Linked DNA regions of Saccharomyces cerevisiae S288C. The gene in region 4 interacts genetically with the main gene of each other region. Each region holds a gene or a part of one and is shown on either strand. Other genes may lie near its edges.

What was found.
Region 1: mutations in PPQ1 (region 4) and LOH1 together harm fitness more than expected from each alone (negative genetic interaction), as found in Saccharomyces cerevisiae (one large-scale study listed by BioGRID).
Region 2: mutations in PPQ1 (region 4) and YDR262W together harm fitness more than expected from each alone (negative genetic interaction), as found in Saccharomyces cerevisiae (one large-scale study listed by BioGRID).
Region 3: mutations in PPQ1 (region 4) and MLH2 together harm fitness more than expected from each alone (negative genetic interaction), as found in Saccharomyces cerevisiae (one large-scale study listed by BioGRID).

What each region holds. Positions count from the first base shown.
Region 1 is NC_001142.9:372,674-379,778, forward strand, and holds LOH1 (Loh1p), read right to left. Parts: upstream 3,102-7,105; coding exon 2,442-3,101; downstream 1-2,441. Other genes in the region: NUP192 (Nup192p), read right to left, coding at 1-1,126; IRC18 (Irc18p), read left to right, coding at 3,989-4,663; SNX4 (Snx4p), read left to right, coding at 6,152-7,105. UniProt on the Saccharomyces cerevisiae protein: Involved in spore wall assembly. May be involved in maintaining genome integrity.
Region 2 is NC_001136.10:986,944-994,452, forward strand, and holds YDR262W (uncharacterized protein), read left to right. Parts: upstream 1-6,190; coding exon 6,191-7,009; downstream 7,010-7,509. Other genes in the region: YDR261C-C (gag protein), read right to left, coding at 4,084-5,406; exodeoxyribonuclease DIN7, read right to left, coding at 7,299-7,509.
Region 3 is NC_001144.5:211,869-220,421, forward strand, and holds MLH2 (mismatch repair protein MLH2), read right to left. Parts: upstream 2,589-8,553; coding exon 501-2,588; downstream 1-500. Other genes in the region: putative divalent metal ion transporter SMF3, read right to left, coding at 1-65; YLR035C-A (gag-pol fusion protein), read right to left, coding at 3,572-7,039.
Region 4 is NC_001148.4:204,569-212,628, reverse strand, and holds PPQ1 (protein-serine/threonine phosphatase), read right to left. Parts: upstream 4,473-8,060; coding exon 2,823-4,472; downstream 1-2,822. Other genes in the region: nuclear cap-binding protein subunit CBC2, read right to left, coding at 1-471; TCO89 (Tco89p), read right to left, coding at 4,982-7,381; CTI6 (Cti6p), read right to left, coding at 7,688-8,060. UniProt on the Saccharomyces cerevisiae protein: Phosphatase involved in the regulation of protein synthesis. Affects translational accuracy.

The DNA.
Region 1 (7,105 bases), on a different chromosome or scaffold from region 4:
TGTAGGTAGAATTCGTCGTTTGACTGAAAATTTTTTCATCATCAAGTAACTGTTTAGGAATTAGCCTTGGAATATGCCTTTCTAACAGGGACCTTATATCGTAGAAAAGTTCCATACTCTTGTCTTGTTCCACGATAGATGTATCTGCGGCAAATATTAAAATTTGTTCAATAGCGCCTAGTTCGACGGCAGAAGTCATTGGCTCATCAACATCAGTTTTGAAATCCATCGTGTCAGCCCTTCTTTTAGGGTCTTCTTTACACCACCCAATGAAGTAAGCAAAAAAAATGAAAATAAGAGCTACTTTGACCGGTTTGGTATATATGGAGTCGTCCTTTAAGTCTTTCATAAACTGAGAATGTAATAATTTGACATCTGCATCGGGCAAAACTCTTAAAGATGCGAAAAGGTGGAAAAATGCAGGAGTATAATATATTATAAAAAAATCATTGGAATCCAATTCTGACACATGATGAAGTAAGGACAGTATAAAATCCTTATTTTTCATGATGGCTCCTTTATCCACTAAACCATATAAAATTTGACTCAGAATATCATATTCTCTCAGTAAGAAGTCTCTCCTAAACTTGATATTTTGTTGGAATAAAGCATTATAGTTTTCTAGTATCTGAGCCTTATTGATTTGTTGTTTAATCTCAGATAATTGAGTATGAATGAACTTAAAGGCTGAGAGGATATTAGAAACTAAAGCTCCATTCTTTATAAGCTCTTGGTATAACTCAGTATCTTCGTGGAAACAGTTGACTATAAAAGAAACAATTTGCAGGATATATTGCCTTCTCAAAAAGTATTGTACTTTGCCATTATTAGCGGTGGTATCACCAGAAAGTATAAGTTCACATGCAACAATTTCATCCAAGTTTAATTCATCGGACAAAGAAATAGCTTCGAAAATAAACTCCTGATTGACCTTAAAAGTAGAGCCATCGGATAGTTCAATTTCACCTTTTTCTAATTGTGATCGGCTAGCATTGTTTTTTAGTTTGTCTGTGTTTAAGTTCAAATTTTGTAAGTCAGGAAGTACCTCTTTGAACAGATCAAAATCGAACTCACCACTCTCAATAGAGCGATACAATGTTTGGAAAGGAATTGCAGACCATTTCATTTTTTCTTATCTGCGGAACAAATCTTTTCAACTAGGTTAGATGCCAAGTGATATAAGTTATATATATTTCGTGCTTAGGAGGCGTGTTGTTAATTGGCGTACCCTGAGGAAATAATTTATTAAGTATAGTGTAAACTAAGTGGCTAAGAAAGGTATTGGTAAACTAGTTGAAAGGCAATGGGCGCATTTACTAAATACTACATCACACTTACAAACTAACCTTGTTATTTTCCAGCAGAAAATTTATTTTCATCAAAAGACGAAAACGGAATCATACTACCCGGCCCGAGAAGGACTTTGATGAAGACCGTAGTTAGAATGGGCTCACTAGACTCGTGAGCCGTTTCAGTTTAATTATTATTATATATGTATACCAGTGCTTTACCCAAAAGAGAATATTTACGTGAAATACTACGCTCTTGCTGGGACCTTAACGTGTATATACTATCATAAACTGAGACTCTTCGTAAATTGCCCCTTAACAACACGGTGCTGTGAATGCTATCACTTGATTATACGCCAATAAACTTCATATTCTTTGAAGAGCCGCTGCTATTGCATTTAATGCTAAGGAAGGTTAACAAAGCATTAATGAAGAATAACTACAGGAGTAGCCAAAAAAATCTCCGCGACGGGGAATTGAACCCCGATCTGGCACGCGACAAGCGCCCATTCTGACCATTAAACTATCACGGAAGAAACAAAGCACTCACGATGGGGGTCGAACCCATAATCTTCTGATTAGAAGTCAGACGCGTTGCCATTACGCCACGCGAGCTACTATTTGTTGAAGGTTTTACTACTTTATTATAGTAAAACCTAATTACGCTTTCAATTACTACAATTTTCGGATTTTCACGGCTGGTGAAATAATGCAGCCTGTATTGCATAAAATGGCCGCACTTATGAGAACTGATACAAGTTGTTTACCGTTGGGGCACCAAGGTGTTATTAGTCAGAAATAAATGTAAATTTCTTATACTGCAAAGCAGAGGTACATATAACACACATCGATTGGTTCATCTTGGCTACGACTAATATTTTTGGGATGCAGGTGAATAATTAGATAATTGTTGTAATTCCATTGTTATTAAAGGCTATAATATTAAAGGTTATTTGGGTCTTTCTCTCTCTCGGCTTTATTTTATTTATAGTTTCTATCTTTCAGCTTTCAAAAAATAATATATATGGCGCTTCATGAAAAGAGAGCTAGCTACAGAAATATAAACAGTCATGGATGAATAGGCGGCGGCAGCTATGCCGGTGCATGCGCACAGTATAATGGACTTAAACTGCCTTAGTACAACTGTTCAAGTTATTGAATAGCATTATATATTAGTGCCAACCAAAATATGAAACCGATGCTTCCAACTGTCACCCCAAGAAGACACGCAAAAGGTGCTACTGCACATAAATCGGCCACTCCTTGAGCTAGACCCAATTCTAACAGACTTACAGTTAGGATTCTCTTTATTCTGTCTAGTCGTTTCTTTTTTTCCCTCGCTTCTTTTTCTTTTTCGTCTTCTCTACCACCATTTATAGTAATTCGATTCTGTTCTCTACTGAGGTTTTCTAAAGCATTAACTACCTTGCCCCTGGAGACTTCTTTAAACTTTTTGATATATTCAAATGGTGAAACATTCAAAGCCGCATCTAGTGCCTTTTCCACCTTTTCATATTCTATTTCGAGCGACTCTCTCTCATTATTATCCAAACTTTTCACTTTATAATTTAGCACCGCTTCTAAGCCCTTCAAAATAAAAGTATGCTGCTCATATTTTGCACTAATGTTTTGAATTTGTCCCTCGATAATAGGCACCTTCTCTGCTGTCAATGTTTCGTATGTTCCATTGTTGTCCAGATTTCTCAATGATGTGATTAACCTATCGCCCGCATCGCTGAACTGTTGTATTGTGTTAGTTCCTGCAATCACAACAATGGTGAAATAAAAATATATGAAAAGCTGGAACCTCATTTGAATTAGTTTACTTCACTAGGCTCTTTTATCTTCACTTATTGTTTTGTGGTGTCTATTTTTTTTACTGACAGTTTACACTTTTATAGTCTTTAAAAAAGCAAAAAAAATAATTCTTTTATTTTTATCCCAAGATAATAAATATTTATGTATTGGATAGTAGTATAATTGAGTATAAAAATTATTTTTGTAGTACTTTTTCAAACTAATCTCTGCAAGACATATCTTCCATATTTTCACAATTATTTAAGCCGATTGCAACAACATTCACCATAGGTGCCTTTTCTGCGGCAATGCGTAGCCCTATAATTAGCTGCTTGAATGAGAAAACCACAAAAAGGGGGATTGAATACATAGCATAGCTTACACTGTATCTTAGTAATTTTTTTCCCTTCTACTTTGTTTTTCGCAGGGCCTTTGCCTTTGGAAAAGGGTACACGAGTCTTAAGAGAAATGAAAAAAAATGACACTAAATCGGTGATAATAATTTGTCGTTGTGACCACAAAAAAGAATTCATAAAAAAAAAAACTTGATCATTGGCGCCACAACCTAGTCATATTTGAAATCATTTTTTTCCTTTATTTTTTACCACAGGGTGCGTTTAGAAGAGACACAAAATCACTCTAGGGTTTTCTATCGAACATAAAGTAAATCATTTTTATATTCCAAAATTGCTCGAAGTAAATCTCTTGTTTTCCTCCCAAATGAAGATCAATATTAAACCTTTCTGAAAATCTTTTTTAATACAGATTACATTATAGAGTTGTATACTCTTCGATCATTTAACTTCTCTTTTATGGGTCATATATCTCTAATTGTCTCTACAGTACTTTTTTTGCTTTTCCAATAAAAATCATAATCACAGCCATAGTCACAAAACTATAAGATGAAAGTACAAATGATAGAAAGGATTTTTCTGATCCAGTTGTGTTTGCTTACCGTTGTATTAGCAAGTAGTAGAGCAGTGGTTGAATTCGAAAGTACCGGAACCAAACTGGTCAACTCATTAAGGGTCTTGGCTGCTTACTCGCAGAGTTCTGTCTGTGTTGATGAAAAAATATCTGGAATCGAGAGACAAATAGAGGAAGTTAAAGATATGTATGGTAACCACTCTTTTATTCTAAAGGGTTTAAATGGTATATTGAATAACAAGGTGAATATGCTAACAAGGGAAATCCAAATGGAAACTGTTGGCAATAACACATTTGAAACAGAAACAGGGAAGCTAACTAAGGGCCTAAACCGAGCAGTAAATATATCTCCGTTCAAGTACATAAAAAAATTCAAGACCGTTTCAACAAAGAAATTTGAAAGCCTCTTGAATAAGTATGATCTGGTTGCCAAGAAGGGCGGGGAATTGACAGAGGAACAAAAGAAAAAGAAGGAGGTGCTCTCACGGATCAGTAGAGTAGTCGCTGCAACAACGATAGAGGCTGGTCTGGCACAAGGTGTGGTTGATTTATGTATAACAGTGACAACTAGTCTATGCTTAGTCTCGGCCAGCATTGGAGGCGTCGGATTTCTTATTTGGCTCACCATTATATACCAAGCTCTGACTTAGGAAAATGTTGCCGATTTTGTTTTTGCCACTCCTGTACATTGTTTAATCTCAGATCGTTGTATATATATACATATATATAGTGTTTTAACGACATTCTTATATTTGCATTTCTGCTTCTTATTACACCTAACTATTCTGTAACTGCCATGGGTAAGCATTTTTGAAGTATTAATTAACAATTAAACTTTCAAACATACCCACCCTTTCGTTGGAATAAAAATCAATTAACACCCACTGACTAGTAAATATTACTAGAATAACTGATGATTATGCCAATTTTCTGACAGTTGTTGGGTTTCCATTGTTGACGAAGGTCCTATTATTAGATATACGGAACATACTAGATCTCTCGAGCCTATCGGAACCTACTAAGCGGAATCGGCAATATACATGTTATTCATTTTTTTCGTTTTTCGTTTTACATTATTAATTTTACGTCTCAACTTGGTTCAATTTCAGAGACAGCATCTCATCACATCTATCATCTTTTTGTACCACATAAGGTAATATACACGTAATAATAGGCAATAGATGTGTGCGAATGAACTTCCAATATAATCCATTTAGTAGTGCCTTTTGTTACTAATATTCGTCAGTTTCTCAAGCTGACACTTGATTTATTCTAAACAAATTTCAATCTTGGACAATTAGTTGACATAAACTACGTTACTAATTTTTGTTGTATTAAGGGCTTAAATAATACCGGATGTCTTGGCAATTCTATCGTTAGGAGAGTAATAGTTGTCAGACTTATTGTCGGCTTGTTCGCACATCGTTACTTATCCTATATTATACATAAGATCTGGTGAAGCGAGGAGTCCCATGTCTAAACCGATTGCTCAGGTATTTACAGGTTTAACTGCTTCATTTAAGCAAGCAATTATTGAATTATATACTCAATCTTGTCTCTCCCGTTACTATTATTTCATTCGCGTTTTATACATCTTTATTATTATAAGTTTGATACGGTAACTTTACAATCGATTAATTTCTGCTGAAAGCCCAAGCTTTCATAAATTAATAGGTTTCGTGGTCTAGTCGGTTATGGCATCTGCTTAACACGCAGAACGTCCCCAGTTCGATCCTGGGCGAAATCAATTTTTTGTTTTTTTAATTCACAAGAATAACCTGGTATTGTTATAAGCAAGCCACCCTTTGCGTACGATCAAACACCCTATAAAATCTATATGCAATACTGAGATATTGTATTTTTTCTCCTTTAATTGTTTATAGTTCAGAATAACAGTTCAAAAATCTATGCCGCGCTCACAGGGTCCTGCCGGGTATTCGCCCTCCAGCTTGAAAGGGGTGGCAATGCCCAAGAGCGATGTATAGTTTAGTATCAAGGAATTGAGAGAGGTATTACACCAAGGATTTCCGTGAACGAAGTGACGACGCAAGATTAACAGATTAAATTCTGGTAGTAGGCTAAGCCGTTATTAAACTTTATTTACGGTATACCACAATACTGCTCTTTTTGTTGAGGATATGACAGACAAAGGCAAGAACGATTTAACAAGCAAAGCTAAGGACAAAGCCAGAGGCAACCCCGAGAAGCCACCATATTGGTTTGAAATCATTGTTTCTGATCCACAAAAAAGAACTGGTGACCCAGGCTCTTCATCTGGCTACGTGAGTTATCAGATATCAACAAAGACTAACAACACGTCATTTTATGATAATCGTGGCGATCCAGAATCTATTATAGTTGTACATAGAAGATACAGTGACCTATTGCTCCTGCATGATATTTTACTCAACAGGTTCCCCACCTGCATCATCCCGCCATTACCTGATAAGAAAGTTTTTCAATACATAGCAGGCGATAGGTTTAGCCAAAGATTTACACAAAAGAGATGTCATAGTTTGCAAAATTTCCTAAGAAGGGTCTCTTTGCATCCCGATCTTTCTCAATCAAAAGTCTTCAAAACTTTTTTGGTGAGTAAAGATTGGGAATCTCACCGCAAAGTCCTCCAGGATAGCTTGCAACCAAATAAAGATGAAGTTACTGATGCTTTTATGAATGCCTTCAAAACAGTTCACAAGCAAAACGAAGAATTCACTGAGATAAGGGAGAAAAGTGATAAACTAGATCGGACTGTGACAAAGATAGATAAACTTTTTCATAAGGTTGTGAAAAAAAATGATTCGATGTCTGAAGACTATACAAAGTTGGGCAGTAATTTACAGGAATTACAAGAATTGGTCACAGGCGAAAACGAGGAACTTGCTGCGAAGTTGAAGATTTTTAATGAAGGTGTAACACAGCTGTCATATGGCTTGCAAGATCTTACAAAGTATCTGGATTACGAATATATTGTTGATTTGAAGGATCTTGAACACTACATTGATAGTATGCGACAGCTGATCAAATTGAAAGACCAGAAACAGATAGACTACGAAGAACTAAGTGATTATTTAACCAGGTCAATCAAAGAAAAA
Region 2 (7,509 bases), on a different chromosome or scaffold from region 4:
AGGATCAATGAATATTAACATATAAAATGATGATAATAATATTTATAGAATTGTATAGAATTGCAGATTCCCTTTTATGGATTCCTAAATCCTCGAGGAGAACTTCTAGTATATCTACATACCTAATATTATAGCCTTAATCACAATGGAATCCCAACAATTACATCAAAATCCACATTCTCTACACGTCTATCAACTAATAGTTATGAGATATATGTGGGTAATTAGATAATTGTTGGGATTCCATTGTTGATAAAGGCTATAATATTAGGTATACAGAATATACTAGAAGTTCTCCTCGAGGATTTAGGAATCCATAAAAGGGAATCTGCAATTCTACACAATTCTATAAATATTATTATCATCGTTTTATATGTTAATATTCATTGATCCTATTACATTATCAATCCTTGCGTTTCAGCTTCCACTAATTTAGATGACTATTTCTCATCATTTGCGTCATCTTCTAACACCGTATATGATAATATACTAGTAACGTAAATACTAGTTAGTAGATGATAGTTGATTTTTATTCCAACATACCACCCATAATGTAATAGATCTAATGAATCCATTTGTTTGTTAATAGTTTAAATGTTTTTATCGGAAGAGGTTTTGTGTTTGTGCCATATTAATTGTTTATCTCTAGTGTCCCACATGAATTGTATTAACTCATATGTCATGTCTAAAACTTGCCTAGAGGGGAATAGTATATGTTGAGCAAGTGTGTTGATGTAGTATAGTAAGTCAAATCTAAATTTATATCCAACATATGAAGCTAGACCAATCAACTTTTGCATTTCATGTACCTTCTCTTTGTATTCATCTTCATCTATTTCTAGTTCATCCTGGTCTATATAAAGACCTGGTTGACCTGGAGCGCTAAGTTTTCTTCCTTTTGGATTCAAAGGTACGTTTAATTTGGGTATTTTCTCAGTTAATGAGTTTTCCATACCTAATTTCATGTATTTACCTCTTTGATATTTGATTTCTAAGCCAAGTATGTCATATTGAATTTCCTCATCACTTTCGCCTAGATTTATAATCTTGGTGTCGTATTGCATCTTAAGCTTCTCTATAATTCTTTTGTTTGAATTTAGATTTTTGCTAAACAATACCATATCATCTACGAATAAACAAATTGTCACTTGACTGTTTTTAAATACGCATGACCATCCACGAACTTCTTCCATACCACATTGTTGTATCAGGTATGATTTGATAGTTTCGTACCAGTTCGCTCCACTTTGTTTCAATCCATAAAGTGATTTCTTCAAACGTATCAACTTATCATTCATTCCTAAATGTGGTGGAGGTCTTATGTATAATTCTTCTTTGATGTCTGCATACAAATATGCCGAAGATATGTCTAATTGTGTAATATAGTAGTTATTGTCTAATGCAAGTGACAGGGATGTCATTAATGCATAGTGATGTACGGTATTGGATTGCATGCCTGAGTCGTAAGTGTCAGGATGCTGAATATCACCTCTTGCAACAAATCTAGCTTTATGAGTACCGTCACGTTTCTTGTTGAAGATAAACATTGAGTTTATTACTCTTTTAGGGTCTATTTCTTTTCTGTCATAATATTCGTCAGTGTCCCAAGTTTTCATCTTCAACAGTTGATTGACTTCTTTGTGGTATGCCTCGATATATTTTTCTTTTTCTTTAATATCTTTATTATAGGTGATTGCCTCATCGTATCGTAAGGTTGTCCGTATTGGTTTGATTGATTTTACTGCTTTTACAGCTGCAATCAGGTGAATTCGTTTCTTCGATCTCGGAGGTTCTAAACTACGCATATTCTTAGTATTCCATGTGTCTCGTGATACCTTAATTTCAGTTTCATTATCTTCTAATGATCTTTTCTTACTGTTGATAGTAGTATAGGCATTAGAGTCACCAATACCACCCAAACTGGAATTAGTTTGACGAGAATTTATCGGTGGGAGTTCTTTAAATGGGTCAGGGAATTCGGTAGGAGATTCTGGAGGTAGATCAGGGAGTGGGAGATCAGCGATGATAGATTCCTCGGTATTCTGTTCAGAAACAGTAGTTGGCGTTTTGATAGGAACAATATTGTGCGATGAATTATTTTCCGGTGGAGAAGCATCGATTGAAGGTGAACGGTGTATAATCCTTTTCTCAGTCTCTTGGTCACTTATCTGCGGAACAGTTTTGTTGTTGGTACCACCCGTACTGGATATTGGTACGTTTGTATGATTAGTCTCATTTTCACTGTACGAGTCTGAGTGTCTGAAATCTTTAGATTTACTGGCGTGCGACGACTCATGTGTGTTAGATTGGGACATGGGAGCAAGTAAAGGAACATTTAATTTATGCATACCACCCGAACCGGTACTCTCGATATTGGAAATTTGGGGGGTGCTAGATCTCTTCTTTGATGGAAGAATATTAGATTCAGATATGTTGGGGTCAACTTCTCTGGGTGCGCGAATATTGGTTTTAGAAACACGTTTCGAATCTTCAGTATGAGTTGACGGAGGTGTGGAATCGGTTGGACTCACAGCTTTTGAAAGGACATTTCTCGGTTGCTCAGGATGTAGTTCAATGTCGGATTGGAAGTCATGGTCAGATTCTATGTTAAGATCATTGGATTCTTGGATCTCATTTGACGCAATGAACGAATGATATGAAGCAGTTAAACGGTTTAAGTCTTCATCGAAAGTGAGTGCGTCGTAATTGAATTGATCTAATCTGGATTCCTTGCCCTGAAGAATAACATAGTTAGTTGTATCTACTGTCTTCTTTAAGGATGGAAGATAGATGATATATCCATAAGAGTTTCGAGACGGATGTAGAGCGTAGCCTGGGATGCCACGAGGATGTATTTTGGAGTTAGGGTTGTGATCATTGACGATAACAGGTTGACCGAAAGGTAACAAAGTACTGATATCAAGTCCTGCCAAGCCAGCATGTTGTCTTGCAGATTTTTTGCTTTTAGGTGAAGCTAGTGAATTTCTCACAATAGTAGAAAATTCGATTGCAGAGAACCATAAATGGTTCGGTAAACCACTACATTGCAGTTGAGTACGGCAGTCATCTAATAAGGTACGGTTTAGCCGTTCAGCGACTCCATGTGCTCGGGAATCCGCTGTGGTTGTATAGCATGGAGTTATACCATTTTTTTCAAGGAATTTATGGAGAGTTCTGTTAGTATACTCAGAACCACGGTCCATTTGTATAACCAAGACACTGGCCTGAAACTGGTTTTTAATAAAAGCTAGTATCGTAGTAAAAACATCGAGGATAGAGTCCTCGCGACGGTCGTGTAATGGATAAACCCAACGGAATTTTGTTGTCTCATCAGTAAATGAGATGAAATAGGATGGTGCACTATTTGGTAGGTTGTGAACTGGACCAAATATGTCAGTATGTAGGTATTGAAAGGGTTCGTATGAATTTTGGTATTTTAGTCGTGAACCTTTGATATGTCTGTGTTTGGTGCTTTTGCCGATTAAACAATCAGGACATTGATAGTCAATAGCACTAGACCAGTCGACATCTGATTCGTTAAAATACGTGATGGTGTTATTTTTAAGTGAGTATCGAATTGTCTGTGCATTGGCATGCGCAAGCATTCGATGAATGAAAGGATAAGGATATTTGCGTGTACTTTCACTTGTATGGACATTATTGATGGTGGGTACGGAGATATTTGATGGAAGCAAGTACTTTTTAGATACCCAGTAAAAGTCTCCATATTTTACGATAGGTGCAAGTACAGTGCCGTCAGACCGTTCTAAGACGTTTTTGGTAAAGCATGCTGTGATATCTACTGCAGCCAATTCATTCAAACTGAGTAAGTCATAGGCTATGTTAGGAGTGTGCAATACCTTTATTGATGTTTTGGTGTTGTCCTGGAAGTGAAATTGTAGGTCACCAATAGCGTTAATTGGTATATTTCTTTTTTGAGCATCAACTACGTTTATGTCAGGATTAGATGATGCTGAGTGTATGTGATGAGCAGATCTTATAAGGGTTCGTGATGCTCCTGAATCGAGAAGGAGGTGTCCAGGGAGTTCATCATCAGAATGATTAGTATGATTTACTGTAGATTCAGTAAGTTTCTGGCCTAAGATGAAGGTCGTGCTTATTGTTCAATTGAATCGGTTCAGTAGTTGATTTACTGATGGAATCGTTGTCCGTGCTGGGAGAGTTATTAGATGTGGATACATTGTGAGCCCTGGCTGTTTTCGATTTCGAATTATTTGTTTTTTGAGGATTCCGAGCTATAACTTTGGGTTTGGTTGTATTCGTATAGCTGCGAGAATCATTCTTCTCATCACTCGGATTTCTCCTGTAATTAGGTTTACTGTTTCTCGATCCCTGTTGTTCTTCATAAATAGCATGGATATCTAAGAACAGTTCAGCGACTGTCATATTTAGATGTCGATGACGTGTGTAGCGTAAAAATTTATATTCGCCAGATAGACCTCTCATAATTAATTGGCATGCGACCTTGTTATTGATATGAATGCCATTATTGTTCAGTCTGTCGATAATGTTTGTGACTTTTGTTTCAAATGCATCTGCAGGTGTACTGCCATTATATTGCAAATTTGCCAGGGTCACAATGTCGTTTGCCTCTTGGGTATCAGATTGCATTTTTTCAATACTTTTGGAAAGAATTTTCATGATATCCGTATAATCAACGGATAGGATGTCTTTGACCCAGGTAGGTAGGAATTGAGAGGGAGCAAATATTTGAAAAGTGTTATACAAGAAGGTGAGTTCATCATCAGTGATCTGACGTACGGGTTTTCCGTTTACTGTCGGAATAATACCACCGAGATTCGAGTTTTGTAAAAATTTGATGTATGTTTTAACCCAATTTGGAAAGTCATTAGGTGAGGTTAACATTGGTGGTGGTCTGACATATTTTTTAGTGGATGTCATATCAGAGTCCGCTGAGGATGAATCAGTAAATGTATTACCTGACTCAGGTGATGGAGTGCTCAGAGGCGTTCCAACTGATGATGGATACTGCGGAAACTGTGATTGTGGCCCAGGTGGAAAGTACATAGGCGACATTTGATAAGGTGTATACGGAATCATAGATGGGTGTCCGTAAAATGACCAACCAGATGGATTGGCTTGGTTTTGGGTCATCATGCACTGCTGTGGGTACGGCCCATTCTGTGGAGGTGGTACTGAAGCAGGTTGAGGAGAGGCATGATGGGGGTTCTCTGGAACAGCTGATGAAGCAGGTGTTGTTGTCTGTTGAGAGTTAGCCTTAGTGGAAGCCTTCTCACATTCTTCTGTTTTGGAAGCTGAAACGTCTAACGGATCTTGATTTGTGTGGACTTCCTTAGAAGTAACCGAAGCACAGGCGCTACCATGAGAAATGGGTGAATGTTGAGATAATTGTTGGGATTCCATTGTTGATAAAGGCTATAATATTAGGTATACAGAATATACTAGAAGTTCTCCTCAAGGATTTAGGAATCCATAAAAGGGAATCTGCAATTCTACACAATTCTATAAATATTATTATCATCGTTTTATATGTTAATATTCATTGATCCTATTACATTATCAATCCTTGCGTTTCAGCTTCCACTAATTTAGATGACTATTTCTCATCATTTGCGTCATCTTCTAACACCGTATATGATAATATACTAGTAACGTAAATACTAGTTAGTAGATGATAGTTGATTTTTATTCCAACAAGTTATATTATCAATATATTATCATATACGGTGTTAAGATGATGACATAAGTTATGAGAAGCTATCATCGAAGTTAGAGGAAGCTGAAGTGCAAGAATTGTTTCATATGTGATTTATGAACATTTAGCATGATTTATTGTCATATTGAGGTATGGTATGTCGATGATAAAACAAATCCAACAATTGTGAGCGCAAGTGGTTTAGTGGTAAAATCCAACGTTGCCATCGTTGGGCCCCCGGTTCGATTCCGGGCTTGCGCACTTTTTTAGCAACTATTAGCGATCAATATGAAGGGTTTAGAGACTAGGTGCCTGCCTCGCCTACTCAGCATTCGTTCAGTCAATATTTTATATCACCGTTAATAATGATTAAGCAGTTTTTTTTGTTAATAAATCCGGTCATCGGGCTAACTAATCTTCAAGAACAACTAGACGGTCATCCCCTTTTGCTTCATAACTTCTCCTTATAATATAAAAACTTACAAAACGACCATGATATTCAATCTACCTGTTAGTGTGCTGCTTTATTTTTCTTTGATATGGGCAATGGAGCCTAGTTTCGTAAGAGGTAAGAACGTCGTCAACTTAATTACTTTCAAAGATTCAAATGGCAAGCTGCACAAGCGGTTAGCACCAGAGGAAATACCGCCCCGGCTACATAATTCTCAAGTAAATTCTTATCCATTAGGATATAAGGGAATGCGTGACTTTTCAAGACCCGCAGTGAATTTAGATGATATTTTAGGGACACAGCAAAGAAAGCAGCAAGAGTTTTTGGCTGAATTGTCTCCTTTATCCTTAGAATCAAAGTTGTCATTAGTGAACGAGGTCCAAATATTTGCAAGCTATGTGCGAAATGATGTTGAAACATATAACAAAGTAAGTGACCCCAACGAAGATTTGATTATTATTGCACCAACGAACAGGGCTGTCTCTCAGCTTACTTTAAAACCGTGGCAATTTCCGAATAATATTGATAAGCTTGAAAGTGATGGTGCCACCGAGAAGGAACTTGATACGGCAATACAAGAGAATATCTCCAAATTTGTGAGATCTCATATTGTAGTGTACAATGATGATAAAAATTCCTACAAGAAGGTGAGTCCAGGATGTACGCTCCTGCAGAGTATTGACTTCACAGAAAGCAAGAAAAGCGATTCGGAAACTGGTGGTGATATTTTACTCAAAAAAGAAGGAGAAGTATATTATGTAGCTTCCTCCAGAGACGAGAAATTTCATGCCGTCGAGAGCATTGAAAATGGAAGCAATGGTGTTATTTTGATGGTTGATTTCACCCTGGTGGGTCCTTAGTTATGTGTTGCTTATGGTTTTGACTTCCTTGACCCCATACAAATTGCGTTCTTTATTTTTTTTGGTTATAATTTATTAATAATGGCGAGTAGGATCGGCCTATCTTTATGGAGTTTACAACATAATATATACATTGGTATCAATTTGTTTTATAGTTATATTTTCTCTAGTATGTGAACGATAATTTTGTTTTACGAATCCTTATATTAATGCTTAGCTGGGGCCGGTGGAATAAGAATACAACTATGAAAATATTACAACAATACCTTCGAACATATATATACACCACTTAGAAAATTGATGGTACGGTGCCTGAGATCGCTGCTGGTGAGGTCATATAAATAGAGGATGCGTTTTTGTTATCAAGAGAATTCTCCCTCTCCGATAACACGTCCTGCGTATCCACTAGCGGTTGCTCCACTTTCTTATTGAATGAGTTGGATTCACCCCCAAGTAGACCTACTTTAAACAGCTTTCTTGCTTTTAATTTTCTTTCTCTA
Region 3 (8,553 bases), on a different chromosome or scaffold from region 4:
CTGACTAATATCCCTGGCCCAATAAATTTGGCAAATTTTTGAAGAATCTGCATATAAGATCGCATTTTTTTTCTCTTGTGATGCTACTACTGTTATCAATTAGCTTGGAAGAACGATATATTTAAAGGAGTTCAGAAGGAAATAATAGTTTGGGTATGACAACTGAAAAAAAAAATGAACTAATATATAAAGGAACCCCGTATATTTATGTGGAGTGATCTTTGTCTTCTAGCTCCTTTGAAATAAATATTCAATTATGCAACCTCACAGAATCAGATGAATGAGATATATACAGTATAAATACCTTTAGTCGCATGACAACAGGATGTCGTAACAATGCAATATTAGAGCATTTTTAAGTTGACCCAAAACGGAAATTTCAAGGTGCGGAAACTGGAAGAGAGGCAGGGCGGGCAACAGGGTGCGGTTACCATGAGTTACAAACAATGGTCTATTATGAAGTAATCTATTGTGCTGAGTGGTGATAGTGCACCCGATCATCAGGGGCTGTCTGGCGTGAAGAGGCACCATTCATTTGTCGTGGCTTCAATGTGTCCCGGTTTCTTCACATGCGCTCGCAAGGCTTGCAAAAGACTGGAAGAAGGGCTTGTGGCATCGTCCCTCGATCGTAACCACAGAGTTTCTTTGGCAAAGTTATCGCTGTCATGCTTAACAATTTTTTCATTCTTCAGGGTATAGACGTAGTTGTTGGTATACTCGGAAAAATGCATGAGTTTCGGCCTTGTTTTGTGCATGCAGGATGCTTTCTTTATATAATTATCAGTTACTTTTTTTTTCGAATTTCGTGGAATGGTCATGTCCACGGTATTGTTTCTTTTACCGTAGGTTTGCTGAAGCTTTATTAGTTCCTTTTTTTCTGTATTTGAAAGCTGTCTTTCGTTGGGCATTCCCCTTTTATTGGCATCTCCACAGCTAGTACGTTTGGCCTCAAGTAAGTTTTCGCTCAGTTTCTTGTTGACGTTTCTTATTTTTGTGATCATAAAAGGATTAGAAATAGAAGCGTCCTTAGAAAGTTCTAAATCCTCGTTCTCTGGAATAGTTTCTATATAGTTATAAGTTAATGACGAGGGTAATGTTGAGGATCCAGCTCCTGCTACTTCACTATTTTCGCTTAGTTCTTGTTGGAAATTATGTCGCCAATTAGTACTGTCCTCGGAAGCCATAGACCCGGAACTCGAGCTTCTATAACTTGAAATGGTCAGCTGAGTTTGTTCGTCAAGAGCTTTATCCTCGCTAAATTTTGTAGGTGAAGGAGTAGCAGCGACAATGGTCGTATTCTCTAAGTTTGCTTCATCGTAAAAAGTTGGTACTATCAAATCTGAGTTTTTTTGTGGGATGTCAGTCTTGTCTTTACCACTAACAGCACCACAGCCCTTTGATATTTCATTCTCTGCGTCGGGTGTAGGTATCACCAGTGCGGGAGAAGTTTTTTCGTTGATAGAAGGCTGAACATGTTTATCTCCCAGCATATTTGTTTCGATGCCAATTCTCTCCTCCAATAACAACTTTAACTTATTCTCTATCTTCTTAAATATCACTTCAAAACTTTTGATCATCACGTCATTTTTCTCTGGTTCGATATTTACGTCAAGAAGCTTTGTATCGCAATTTAAATTAATAAACCAAACCATAGGATCTAGTAAAGAGAAATCTCTATAGATTGACGATAGTAACTTAGAAATAGTCTTCCCCGTCTCCAAGTTCAAAGATAGCGCTCTCTCATTAACAGATAAAAATTTAAATCGTCTCTTTATATTAATAACGTCAGATTCTGGCACCATCCTCGGTAAGATCAAATCTAAATTTATTTTTTCGTCGATAACAAAGTTTTCTTCTACAATAAAGTTCAGCGGCACAGGCTTTTTTAGTCTAGCTAGTAGGGACAAACTTCTAGCTCTAGAAATCTTAGGGTCTAACGTTTCTTGCATTTGTTTACGCTCTATGGCACCATTTTTTTGTAATGACACCAACGAAAAATAAAACCGAATATTTCTATGAATTAGAGAATAATGGTTTATTAAATAGATTAGTTCATCGAATGTTTTTCTTGGCCTCGAAGAAATTTCGAGATACCTTGCTCGTAACCCTCCCAGAAGTTTCCTTAATATTACTGTAGTCCCCACGGGACAAGATACCTTGTACCTTTTTCCATTGGTAATACCACCCTTACTATCAACTAACCATTTTTCTCCAATGACATCATCTGCAGTTTTTGTTTCAACCTGCATTGAGCCTTTCTGGTTACACAAGTTTGACAAAAGAAACAATGCTTCACCTCTGAATCCAAGAGTAGTCAGAATCGAAATATCTCCGAGACTACTCATCTTTGATGTGGTGTATTCCAAGCACATAGAAGGTCTGTCGATAATATCCACACCTGATCCATCGTCCTTGACTGATATATATTCACATCCTCCCGTAGTGGAATCTACATCGATGAATACTTTTTTAGCACCCGAATCGATGCTATTATCTAATAATTCCCTTACAGCAGCTACCGGACCGTAAATAAAGGAACTAGAAACAATCTTCCATTGGGATTCTGGAGATAACTGATGTATAGTCATCCAAAACTATGAAAAGGCGTCTGTTCCTCAAACCGAGATGATGGGATGTGAAATAACTTTATATGTTTATAAAAGTGATTACTTTTTCTTGTATGGGCGCCAAAAAAGGGCCATGTATATGAGGGATATGGACGACAGTGAGATTATTTAAATAGCAAAGACTACAGTAAAAGCAAAAAAGCATTGTGCCAGGGCAATATAGCGAGCACTACTTAAACCCAAATTAGGTGACAAGTGAAAGGTTTGTTATGCGCAAAACTTATAGATAATGCAGAAGGTAATCTTTTCTGCTGTACTATATGTTCACATTGCAGTGTTACGAATAAATATAAGGATATATAGCTCTGCTTAAGGGGTTTTCTTGGAATCGAGTCGAGTTATTCTAGAAATTGTTAAAAATAAAGGAGAATAAAAGTAAAAAATAAATGGACGCAACCGGAATCGAACCGATGACCTCTTCCTTGCAAGGGAAGCGCGCTACCAACTGCGCCATGTGCCCTAAAACGCGTACAAAGGAGAGGAAATTATTTGACTACTTAGTACTGTTTTCATAGGTAAACCCTCCACTGTGGCTAAGATGAGTGTTATTCTTCAACCTCATAGAAAGCACGCATGTTACTTTCTGAGATATATGTGGGTAATTAGATAATTGTTGGGATTCCATTGTTGATAAAGGCTATAATATTAGGTATACAGAATATACTAGAAGTTCTCCTCGAGGATATAGGAATCCTCAAAATGGAATCTATATTTCTACATACTAATATTACGATTATTCCTCATTCCGTTTTATATGTTTATATTCATTGATCCTATTACATTATCAATCCTTGCGTTTCAGCTTCCTCTAACATCGATGACAGCTTCTCATAACTTATGTCATCATCTTAACACCGTATATGATAATATATTGATAATATAACTATTAGTTGATAGACGATAGTGGATTTTTATTCCAACATACCACCCATAATGTAATAGATCTAATGAATCCATTTGTTTGTTAATAGTTTGAATGTTTTTATCGGAAGAGGTTTGGTCATTACGTCTGCAATATTCTTTTTGGTTTCGATATAGCATACGTGCAGATGATTTCCTGATACTTCATCTCTTAGTCTCATTGCTTTAGTACCAAAAAATCTGTTTCTAAATTTCTCTTCATTATTGGATATAATTATACTGATTGTAGATTTACTGTCGGTTAGTAATCCTTTAGTAATTGGTTTCTTGTTAAGTTCTTGCACAAGGTGACTGAGGTTATTTAATAATGGGACAGATTCACTTATCGCGTGTATTTCTGCTTCCGTAGTTGAAGTACATGTTAATGAAGCCTTGGTGGACTTTCCTCCAATTACTTTTCCATTAAGTAAATATATGTTGCCAATTTGTGATTTATAATACGGTTGGTTACCATACGATGCATCGCTTATAACAACTAATTTATTTGTTGGCTTAACAGGTTTGCTTTTGTGCCATATTAATTGCTTATCTCTCGTATTCCATATGAACTGTATCAATTCATATGTCATATCTAACACTTGCTTGGACGGAAATAGTATATGTTGTGCAAGTGTGTTGATGTAGTATAATAGGTCAAATCTAAATTTATATCCAACATATGATGCTAGACCTATCAGCTTTTGCATTTCATGTACCTTCATTTTGTAATCATCTTCTTCTAGCTCTAGTTCTTGCTGGTCTATATATAGACCTGGTTGACCTGGAGCGCTAAGTTTCCTTCCTTTTGGGTTCAAAGGTACGTTTAGTTTGGGTATTTTTTCAGTTAATGAGTTTTCCATACCTAATTTCATGTATTTACCTCTTTGATATTTGATTTCTAAGCCAAGTATGTCGTACTGAATTTCGTTATCACTTTCACCCAGATTTATTATCTTTGTATCGTATTGTTTCTTGAGTGTTGTTATGATTTTCTTATTTGCATTTAAGTCTTTGCTGAACAATATCATATCATCAACGAATAAGCAAATTGTTACTTGACTATTCTTAAATACGCATGACCATCCACGAACTTCTTCCATACCACACTGTTTTATCAGGTATGATTTGATAGTTTCGTACCAGTTCGCTCCACTTTGTTTCAATCCATAAAGTGATTTCTTCAAACGTATTAACTTATCATTCATTCCTAAATGTGGTGGAGGTCTTATGTATAGTTCTTCTTTGATGTCTGCATACAAATATGCCGAAGATATGTCTAATTGTGTAATATAGTAGTTATTGTCTGATGCAAGTGACAGGGATGTCATTAATGCATAGTGATGTACGGTATTGGATTGCATGCCTGGGTCGTAAGTGTCAGGATGTTGAATATCACCTCTTGCAACAAATCTAGCTTTATGAGTACCGCCACGTTTCCTGTTAAAGATAAACATTGAATTTATTACTCTTTTGGGGTCTATTTCTTTTCTGTCATAATATCTGTCAGTGTCCCAAGTTTTCATCTTCAACAGTTGATTGACTTCTTTGTGGTATGCCTGGATATATTTTTCTTTTTCTTTAATATCTTTATTATAGGTGATTGCCTCATCGTATCGTAAGGTAGTTCGTATTGGTTTGATTGATTTTACTGCTTTTACAGCTGCAATCAGGTGAATTCGTTTCTTCGATCTCGGAGGTTCTAAACTACGCATATTCTTAGTATTCCATGTGTCTCGTGATACCTTAATTTCAGTTTCATTATCTTCTAATGATCTTTTCTTACTGTTGATAGTAGTATAGGCATTAGAGTCACCAATACCACCCAAACTGGAATTAGTTTGATGAGAATTTATCGGTGGGAGTTCTTTAAAGGAGTCTGATAATTCGGTAGGAGGTTCTGGAGGCAGATCGGGGAGTGGAAGATCAGCGATAATAGATTCCTCTGTATTCTCCTTAGGACAGGTATCTGACGTTTTGATAGGAACGACGTGGTGTAGTGAATTACTTTCTGATGAGGAAGTATCGATCGAAGGTGAACGGTGTATGATCCTTTTCTCAGTCTCCTGTTCGCTTGTCTGCGGAACAGTTTTATTATTGGTACCACCCGTACTGGATATTGGTACGTTTGTATGATTAGTCTCATTGTCACTGTACGAGTCTGAGTGTCTGAAATCTTTAGATTTACTGGCGTGCGACGACTCATGTGTGTTAGATTGGGACATGGGAGCAAGTAAAGGAACATCTAATCTATGCATACCACCCGAACCGGTACTCTCGATATCGGAAATTTGGGGGGTGCTAGATCTCTTCTTAGATGGAAGAATATTAGATTCAGATATGTTGGGGTCAACTTCTCTGGGTGCGCGAATATTGGTTTTGGAAACACGTTTCGAATCTTCAGTATGAGTTGACGGAGGTGTGGAATCGGTTGGACTCACAGCTTTTGAAAGGACATTTCTCGGTTGCTCAGGATGTAGTTCGATGTCAGATTGGAAGTCATGGTCAGATTCTATGTTAAGATCATCGGATTGTTGGATCTCATTTGACGCAATGAACGATTGATATGAAGCAGTTAAACGGTTTAAGTCTTCATCGAAAGTGAGTGCGTCGTAATTGAATTGATCTAATCTGGATTCCTTGCCCTGAAGAATAACATAGTTAGTTGTATCTACTGTCTTCTTTAAGGATGGAAGATAGATGATATATCCATAAGAGTTTCGAGACGGATGTAGAGCGTAGCCTGGGATGCCACGAGGATGTATTTTGGAGTTAGGGTTGTGATCATTGACGATAACAGGTTGACCGAAAGGTAACAAAGTACTGATATCAAGTCCTGCCAAGCCAGCATGTTGTCTTGCAGATTTTTTGCTTTTAGGTGAAGCTAGTGAATTTCTCACAATAGTAGAAAATTCGATTGCAGAGAACCATAAATGGTTCGGTAAACCACTACATTGCAGTTGAGTACGGCAGTCATCTAATAAGGTACGGTTGAGCCGTTCAGCGACTCCATGTGCTCGGGAATCCGCTGTGGTTGTATAGCATGGAGTTATACCATTTTTTTCAAGGAATTTATGGAGAGTTCTGTTAGTATACTCAGAACCACGGTCCATTTGTATAACCAAGACACTGGCCTGAAACTGGTTTTTAATAAAAGCTAGTATCGTAGTAAAAACATCGAGGATAGAGTCCTCGCGACGGTCGTGTAATGGATAAACCCAACGGAATTTTGTTGTCTCATCAGTAAATGAGATGAAATAGGATGGTGCACTTTTTGGTAGGTTGTGAACTGGACCAAATATGTCAGTATGTAGGTATTGAAAGGGTTCGTATGAATTTTGGTATTTTAGTCGTGAACCTTTGATATGTCTGTGTTTGGTGCTTTTGCCGATTAAACAATCAGGACATTGATAGTCAATAGCACTAGACCAGTCGACATCTGATTCGTTAAAATACGTGATGGTGTTATTTTTAAGTGAGTATCGAATTGTCTGTGCATTGGCATGCGCAAGCATTCGATGAATGAAAGGATAAGGATATTTGCGTGTACTTTCACTTGTATGGACATTATTGATGGTGGGTACGGAGATATTTGATGGAAGCAAGTACTTTTTAGATACCCAGTAAAAGTCTCCATATTTTACGATAGGTGCAAGTACAGTGCCGTCAGACCGTTCTAAGACGTTTTTGGTAAAGCATGCTGTGATATCTACTGCAGCCAATTCATTCAAACTGAGTAAGTCATAGGCTATGTTAGGAGTGTGCAATACCTTTATTGATGTTTTGGTGTTGTCCTGGAAGTGAAATTGTAGGTCACCAATAGCGTTAATTGGTATATTTCTTTTTTGAGCATCAACTACGTTTATGTCAGGATTAGATGATGCTGAGTGTATGTGATGAGCAGATCTTATAAGGGTTCGTGATGCTCCTGAATCGAGAAGGAGGTGTCCAGGGAGTTCATCATCAGAATGATTAGTATGATTTACTGTAGATTCAGTAAGTTTCTGGCCTAAGATGAAGGTCGTGCTTATTGTTCAATTGAATCGGTTCAGTAGTTGATTTACTGATGGAATCGTTGTCCGTGCTGGGAGAGTTATTAGATGTGGATACATTGTGAGCCCTGGCTGTTTTCGATTTCGAATTATTTGTTTTTTGAGGATTCCGAGCTATAACTTTGGGTTTGGTTGTATTCGTATAGCTGCGAGAATCATTCTTCTCATCACTCGGATTTCTCCTGTAATTAGGTTTGCTGTTTCTCGATCCCTGTTGTTCTTCATAAATAGCATGGATATCTAAGAACAGTTCAGCGACTGTCATATTTAGATGTCGATGACGTGTGTAGCGTAAAAATTTATATTCGCCAGATAGACCTCTCATAATTAATTGGCATGCGACCTTGTTATTGATATGAATGCCATTATTGTTCAGTCTGTCGATAATGTTTGTGACTTTTGTTTCAAATGCATCTGCAGGTGTACTGCCATTATATTGCAAATTTGCCAGGGTCACAATGTCGTTTGCCTCTTGGGTATCAGATTGCATTTTTTCAATACTTTTGGAAAGAATTTTCATGATATCCGTATAATCAACGGATAGGATGTCTTTGACCCAGGTAGGTAGGAATTGAGAGGGAGCAAATATTTGAAAAGTGTTATACAAGAAGGTGAGTTCATCATCAGTGATCTGACGTACGGGTTTTCCGTTTACTGTCGGAATAATACCACCGAGATTCGAGTTTTGTAAAAATTTGATGTATGTTTTAACCCAATTTGGAAAATCATTAGGTGAGGTTAACATTGGTGGTGGTCTGACATATTTTTTAGTGGATGTCATATCAGAGTCCGCTGAGGATGAATCAGTAAATGTATTACCTGACTCAGGTGATGGAGTGCTCAGAGGCGTTCCAACTGATGATGGATACTGCGGAAACTGTGATTGTGGCCCAGGTGGAAAGTACATAGGCGACATTTGATAAGGTGTATACGGAATCATAGATGGGTGTCCGTAAAATGACCAACCAGATGGATTG
Region 4 (8,060 bases):
AATGGCGAAGCCACCTCTGGATGCATCAAAATCGAACCTCAATTCATCGCTGACTTGACCACCGCTCTTACCACGACCAAACTGTCTTCCATCTTCAAAACCAGGATCTAGATCAATGGTAATTGTCTTTTCGTCTAACTTTGTATCGGACAAATATTTTAAGGCATTCAATGCTTCATCTGGACAACTATATATAATAAAACAGAAGCCACATGGCGTGAACTTAAAACGGTCCAAACCCATAATTATTCTTTTTATTGTGCCACATTTACTGAATAATTCGTAAATTTGTTCTTCTGATGTATAAAAGGAAAGATTTCCTACATAAATTGTGGATGACTTCATCGACTCACGCAGTTCTTGTAGCCCGTTAGGGTTTCTTCTAGCCTTGCGCAGCAGGTACCTTGATGGTGTATCTAGGCGTTTAGTTGAATGATCATATTTAACTTCGTCAAATTCTTCCAGGGACATCTTTCCCTTTATTTATTGGTATATTAATGGATGCAACTTTTATTCGATATTAGTCCTTTCGGGACTTTAAAAGCTGTCGAGACACTTTCTCCATATAAACTCATGTTCTATATTCATACATATAATATTTTTCTTGAAAAAAACACAAAAACTGTTAAAGCGGGTAATACTTTGATAAGCACTTATTAACGTTTATACCATACACTACTTCATACACCAATTACAAATCTATTAGTGGTATACTTTTACTGTAGACAATGTGGATTTTGATGTAATTGTTGGGATTCCATTGTGATTAAGGCTATAATATTAGGTATATAGATATACTAGAAGTTCTCCTCAAGGATTTAGGAATCCATGAAAGGGAATCTGCAATTCTACACAATTCTATAAATATTATTATCATCATTTTATATGTTAATATTCATTGATCCTATTACATTATCAATCCTTGCGTTTCAGCTTCCACTAATTTAGATGACTATTTCTCATCATTTGTGTCATCTTCTAACACCGTATATGATAATATACTAGTAACGTAAATACTAGTTAGTAGATGATAGTTGATTTTTATTCCAACATTTACTGGTACAATAGGTGTATGATATTTTCCCAAAGTTTAAATTTATATAATATAAGTGGCTTGTGCATTAATGCTCTTGAACGAAACTGGATAACGAAAACTGCAAATACTTGTAGTTTTAAACAGACACTTTCTGGGATAGGTCTATCAGCGAAGCTTGGGAATGTTTCGCCAAATTACCTGTATCCTTTCATGAGCGTGAGCAGGTTTAGGTCATGGTCACATCTTATTATATAAATTCTTTCAGAAGATTGTCAATTGTCCATCTATCGCCATAGATTATCTGAGAGCGAAGTTCCATTATGTCTACTAGTAGAAAATAATTTGAAGTTGAAATATAATAGCATTACAAAATTTTTTCTTTATATAGTCCGGTCTTGAAGAAGGATAACAATATTAAGTGTATGAAGACACAAGAACTTTTTCTTGGAAATTTGGATTTTTATGGGAGGAAACCTACAGCGGCAATGTATAATTATGATTAGTTCATCCTTTGCTGCCATCTGTTCGCAATTATTCATGCAATTGTATGATTATTGTCAGGCATTTCAACTTCCGGTAGATTCGTTTGTAATAATAGGTGAATTTTGTGTTGACATTATCAAACCGTTAAGATAGTGTTAGTTGCCAATTAGCATTTGCCTCGATAGAATGTGACGTTAGTTGTGGTACTAGGAATAAAAGTTGATGGCCAAACATTTTTCCTGCACATTTCCTTCAGCGTTTTCAGAAAAGAGAATTTGAGTAAAAATATTTTTGATGTTTAGGTTACCAATATCTCATTAATATAAATTTGAAAACAATGAATTTTGGGTTATACTTGGAGTGCATTTTATTGTGGTTAAAGGCTACAATATTAGCTAAACAGAATGTACAAGTAGTTTTCCTGGAGAATAAAAGAATTCTAAAAGAGAATCGATAATTCTATACAATAATATAGTTATCTCTTCTTTCGTTTATGTACTGTCGTTCTTGTTTTATTACGTTATTAATCCTTGCAGTGCACTTTTCATGATGACTGGTGACTGTTTCTCAATTTTTACATCATTTTTTTTTGAAAACATGATGATATACTAATAATTTGGATACTAGCAATAAATGCTTCTTGATCCTCTATTCCAACAAAAAAGTAACAAGAGCTTACTGATCTTCGGTTTTTATTTTACCTTATCCCAAATATCAAATTGAAATATACCGATTGTTTTAATCCGTTTTGTTGTATATTATCGTAATAATATGCAGATAATATACATATATACGTATTACGCCGATTAGGCTGACACTTTAACAAAATTTTCTGTCCAATTATTGTCCGATATAGTGTAACGGCTATCACATCACGCTTTCACCGTGGAGACCGGGGTTCGACTCCCCGTATCGGAGTTTTCTTTTTGCTTCCTTCCGCCCTTCCAAGTTGTTGCATAATCTTATCTGTCAAAATATGAACGCTTGAAAACTATAGATTATAATTATCATTTATTTAGCCATAATGGAGGGAAGAATAATATGATTGCATATCAAAGGTAAAAAAAGTCGAGTAAATGACTTATAAACGTAAAAAATATATTGATAAAAGACATAAACGAGGCCATGAAGGTGGGAAAAAAAAAAATAACTGCATAATAATGTTAACTAAATGAAAATAAAATGAAAAATAAAATGAAAAATAAAATGAAAAAAACAAATCATAGGACAAAAAGTTTCCAAATGAAGGATAAGAGGCCTAAAAACCAATGTGCTTTCCAGGCAAAACCAATCTTAGCAACAGCTACACTTTGGTTTTGTATAACTTCTTTTTATTTTTCAATGCACGCGGCTTTAACAGTTCAAAGCTACACATCATACCCGTTGTAACGCTCATTACTGCCCCCCAATTATGAAATTCTCCACAATAATTTGGTGCTGAAAAGATTGTGACAAACTTTTTCCTGGCAAAGAATTCATAACCATCTTCTACGACCATATGTCCCCTAAGTATTAAATCGAATTTAAACTTAGCACAAAAATCAAGAACGTTCCTCTTAGAAAATGTGTATGAAACACCACGATCATTTTCTGACCAATCAGTTACTTGAGGGTCTGGGTCACTCCACAGTAAGTCTGTAACCAGCCCGCTTTCAGGAATATCCGTTGGTCTTGCGACTTTTTCGATTTGCTTCATGTCATGTAAATCGGGCGATATACCTCCATGAACGCAAAAGATCTTATCTTGAATAATTGCTGCTAATGGCAAAGTATTAAATACGTCAACGAACATTTTCCATACTTTCGAGCTCAATCGCCTTTTGCATTCATCATAGAAACCGTACATCTTTGTGACATTAGCAGATTCGTGATTACCCCTTAACATAAAAAAGTTGTCTTTGTACTTTATTTTGTAACATAATAACAATAGTATTGTTTCCAATGAGTTCTTACCACGGTCCACATAATCACCCAAGAACAGATAATTAGTATCAGATGGCACACCAGACAACTTCAAAATTCTCAATAAATCATTAAATTGTCCATGAACATCACCGACAACTTTGATAGGCGCTTGTAATCTCAAAAGAGTAGGTTGATTCAAAAAAATTTCTCTTGCATGATAGCAAATGAGTTGAATTTCCCAAGAATGGAATGGAAAGTTCTTTTTTTTGGACGTTTTTGTAATTTCTCTTGACTCACCCACTTGTAGTAATTTTTCGATCGCAACATCGATATCAAGACCTTCATTTGAAGAGGTATCATGAGAATACCGTCTCAAAAATATAGGCTTCTTGCTACTTTTAGGATTAGGTATCCCAGATGTTGGGGACGAAGGCGCACCAAAAGAACCTGCCTTAACCGAAGATGAAGGAGACTTAACTCTGGACGATAACCCTGAAGATTTTAAAAATGATGAGGTTGATGAGGAAGCAGACGTAGCGGATGAGTAGTAGGAGGAAAAAGAATATGAGGATGGAGAAGAATAATTTGATTCACGATAAGAGGGTGATGTCAGGATATTATTTGAGGTAGTGGCAGTGGTAGTAGAGGAAGTTCTTGCGGTATTGATCAGCTTCGGAGCAGTTGCTGATGAGGATAGGGCTTTAGCGACAGAAACATCGATATCTAGGTACAAGCTCTTCAAGTTTTCATCCTTAGTGTATATTTTCTGTTTATGGGCATTCTCACCAGGAATGAGCAAATTATCATTGCTAGCTCGTTTATTGTTGTTGTTTTTCCCGGCCGATGCTAAAGTGTTGTAATTGTTTATAGAATGTTTATTATTGAATTTCTTGATAGTAGGTAGAGACCTACTATCATCTGGGTCATTAGGTTCGTTACTGTTGAGATCATCTGAAGGTGTAGTTAATTGTTGCTGACTAGAGTTTGAATTAGTTGAGCAATTCGGTACTGCAAAGTTATTATTTGATCTGGACGGGCTTCTTCTCATAAATAGAATATAAGTGAAGGGAAAACAATATCTAACTTGAAAGGAAAATGGACTAAAGTAATAAAATAGGTTTTTTGTAAGGACAAGCTTGTAAATGAAACGTCAGAGACTCGGTAAAACAAGATTAATTTGAATGTAGTGATTCTGACCGATAGTATTTATAGTCCGTGAGGAATACTTACCAAAAAATTGCTAAAAGAATAGACACGTTTAAGGTATATTTACTAATGCCATTTTTTAAGAGATACGGAATCCAGCGAAATCGCTAAATTTGCGGTGGTTGCATTCAACGTTTTTCTTTCTTTTTGTTCGATAATTTATCATTTATTACGTTAACCGGGTTATACAAATACGCCTCGTTAGCTCGTATAGAAGTACATGTCCTTTTATAGTGCATAAACATAGTATGTTCCTTAAGTGTCCAAACATATTCGCTCTCTACGAACTTCGCGTTTTACCTCGAAAGCATTAGCTACTCTTTTAAACTGTGTGCTTCGTGTTGGTTGTTTTCACCTTTGTTGTGGCTGTGTATGCATGTAGCCCACATTTTCCATCCTGCGATTCACTGCCCTCGTAGTCGGCTGCAGAGAGTTAATGACGCGTTGGTGGTGCAAAGTCGTGCTGGAACCCATCGGGCCCCTCAGCAAGTTACGTGCATTCTGTGAAGCAGTGTGGCCAACGCTGTGGTTTGTACTCGTTGTCCTATTCTTGTTGATTGGATTAACATCCTTGTTAAATAAGTAACTTTCGCTTTTCCATATACCGGACAACACTGCCTGAATCTTTGCACTTGCAAGATGTGGATAAAGATCATCAAATTTTTTGTCATAGTTAGTAAAGAGCAAATCGTCCTCATCCTTATGATCTGTATCACTGCTAGAATGTGCGATTGACTGAGCATCGTTATGGCTTTTTTTCCTGATATTATTTGCATTTCCCGTTATTATAGGTTGTACTCTCAACAATGCTTCATCTAATGGGTTGTAAAATCTTTTTACATTAGAGTATTCATGGGATATTCTCTCAAACTCCCTTTTCGCATCAATGTTTCCTGCCATAAAGATAGAGTCACTACCGTCATTTTGTGAACTTAAGTCCATAATAGAATTCTCCCTCTGCAACCATAATTTTCTTTGTGTTCTTGATTCTGCATCAATCCCATCTGATTTAAGGAACTGGGCGAAGCTATTAAATTTGGCACCTGAGTTGGATTGTCTGTTTGCATCGCTACCGGAGTTCGTACTAGATGTAATATGTTCGTTGGACAATGGAGAGGCCGGGGCTGCAGAATTTTTGTTGAGATCGTTGGATCTCAGAAGTAGATTCTGATTACCTTTCTTGTGAAAAATATTATTCATTCTTGAACCATGGAAGCTTTCAGGAGCAGCTCTCCTCAAATTATTGGTTAAACTCGATATGGAGGTCGAAAAGTTGTGCTGTGGTACATTATTATCTTTACTACCGATGTTAGCAATGGTGGGGAAAGTAGACTGAGAGTTCGGTATATTTTGGCCAAGTTGAGATCTTCCACCATTTTTCTTGCTCTTGCGCAATTTGCCATCATCCAGTTCATTAAAAGTATCACCTGAAGCCATATGCTCACCCGAGTCATGAATTTCATTCCCAAGCGAATTTTGGATGGATGATGAATTTTCAAATCTACGTTCAACTCCAGTCGACTGGGAGAGAATCATATTAGGCGCATAATTTTCCAGTAAGCTATGCCCTTCAATATCCTTGGTACCAGCGGAAGAAATATCATCAGGCTTGATTAGATCTTCTTCTTCGTTTAATAATTTGTGTTGTTTAGAACTTTGTCTCCTAAGAGACATAAAGCTCGAGTCGCTTTTTCTTGATGAATTACTCCTAGGGGCATCAATGTGATCTTCCTGATCAAACTGTTCATCTGAATGACTTGGTTTTTGATTACTTTTATGTGCAGCTAAGGTATTACCAACATCAAGAATTTTTTTTTCTTTATCATATGGTGCTTCTGATATATTATCGCCCGCTTTAACCAATGAGGCCCTCAAATTTTGAGAATGGCTGGACAAGTCATCAATATCAGCTTCCTTCGTCACCTTTGATTGCCCCTCTTCATTGATTACACTTGTTGCATTCAGTTTTGTTTCAATTGAGCTTGGAGATGTTTCTCCATCTTTCTGATGTTCTATAGAATGGCTTGATTCTCCGAAATAGTTATTGGAAGATAAATGAGGTAATGGTAAGGATACAGCTCTATGATTTTCCTTTCCATCAGTACCTGATTTATCTTCTTCTTGTTCATCTATTGAATCCGGGGATTGTAATTCATTCTGATTTAATTGCTGCACATTCTTTTTTTCTTCAGGCATAACATGCTCGGCTATTACTTTATCATTATTCACCTTTCCATCTTCAATGTTGTCTTCCGAAAAACATTCCACCTCCTCGTCAGTAGTAGATTCACTCTTTTTAGATTCTTGCGCATCTCGAAGACTCAGAACAGATTGGGTACTTTTACTTCTTCGTGGTTTCAGGCCGAAACCAGCAGTTCCAGTATTAGAATGACTGCTGTTCTTTGGACTGAGCAGCGTATTATGCACCGGACTATGAAAGGATGCTGATCTTTTTCCTTGATTGGACTTTACTCTTGTTAAAGCTGTCATATTCAACCCACTAATCGTTCGCTTTCTGAAAAGTGCATCAGAACTCTTGCATTTCTGAGAAACGTTGTGCTTATTAAAATAATCATTATCCAGGGTGCCATCATGTGTTAAAACTCTACGCAAACCTTTGAAGCTTGCGTTACTCTTTGCTCTCGACCTAGTCGAAAACTGTCTAAATGGCTTTGACTGGTGTGATACTGTTGACGCATTAAGAGATGTTACATCAGTGTCTGACTTCAAAGTCCTTCCTCGATGAACCATAATTATAGTTACTCAGTAAGGATATATGATATATCCCAATATCTATGTTTACCTGACCCGTAAATCGATAGAATGTGCTAGTCCATTAGATGTTTGGATTCCTTAATCATCGTGCCAGCCAAATCGCTATACCATCCGCAACTAGCTATCCTTGCGGTTACCCGTACAAGAGTAAGCTCGGTTGATAAAAACAACGTTGAATTAGTCGTTTTTATATCCATATAGATGTATATATATGTATAGATGTGTTTGTTCGCCTCATTACAGTTATACTTTGGTTGAGAATAATATTGCAGTGTTTTGCGTTTATTGAATGGCATTAGTGTTATTTGAATATTTTTTCTCCCATAGTAGTAACTCTCTAGTCAGGTCGTCCATCATTGATAGACTTTCATTATAACCGTTGTAAATCGTATCAACTTTTTCTACGAAATGCTGGTTTTCCACGAATCGTACAAATTCCTCTCGATCAGACTGATCTTCACTCAATTCCCATTGAGTTCTAGAAATGAACTCCAAAATAGCGGATACCCTTCTTCTCATTTCGTTTAATGAGGTCCTTTGAGGGGGTAATCTGGGCTTTACTGGTTTGTCGGTACCTATATCAGCACTCCTTCTATTTTGGTTGGTGTCTGAACTTGTATTGCTTCGACGAGTTCTGTTGCCCTTTCTTGCTGGT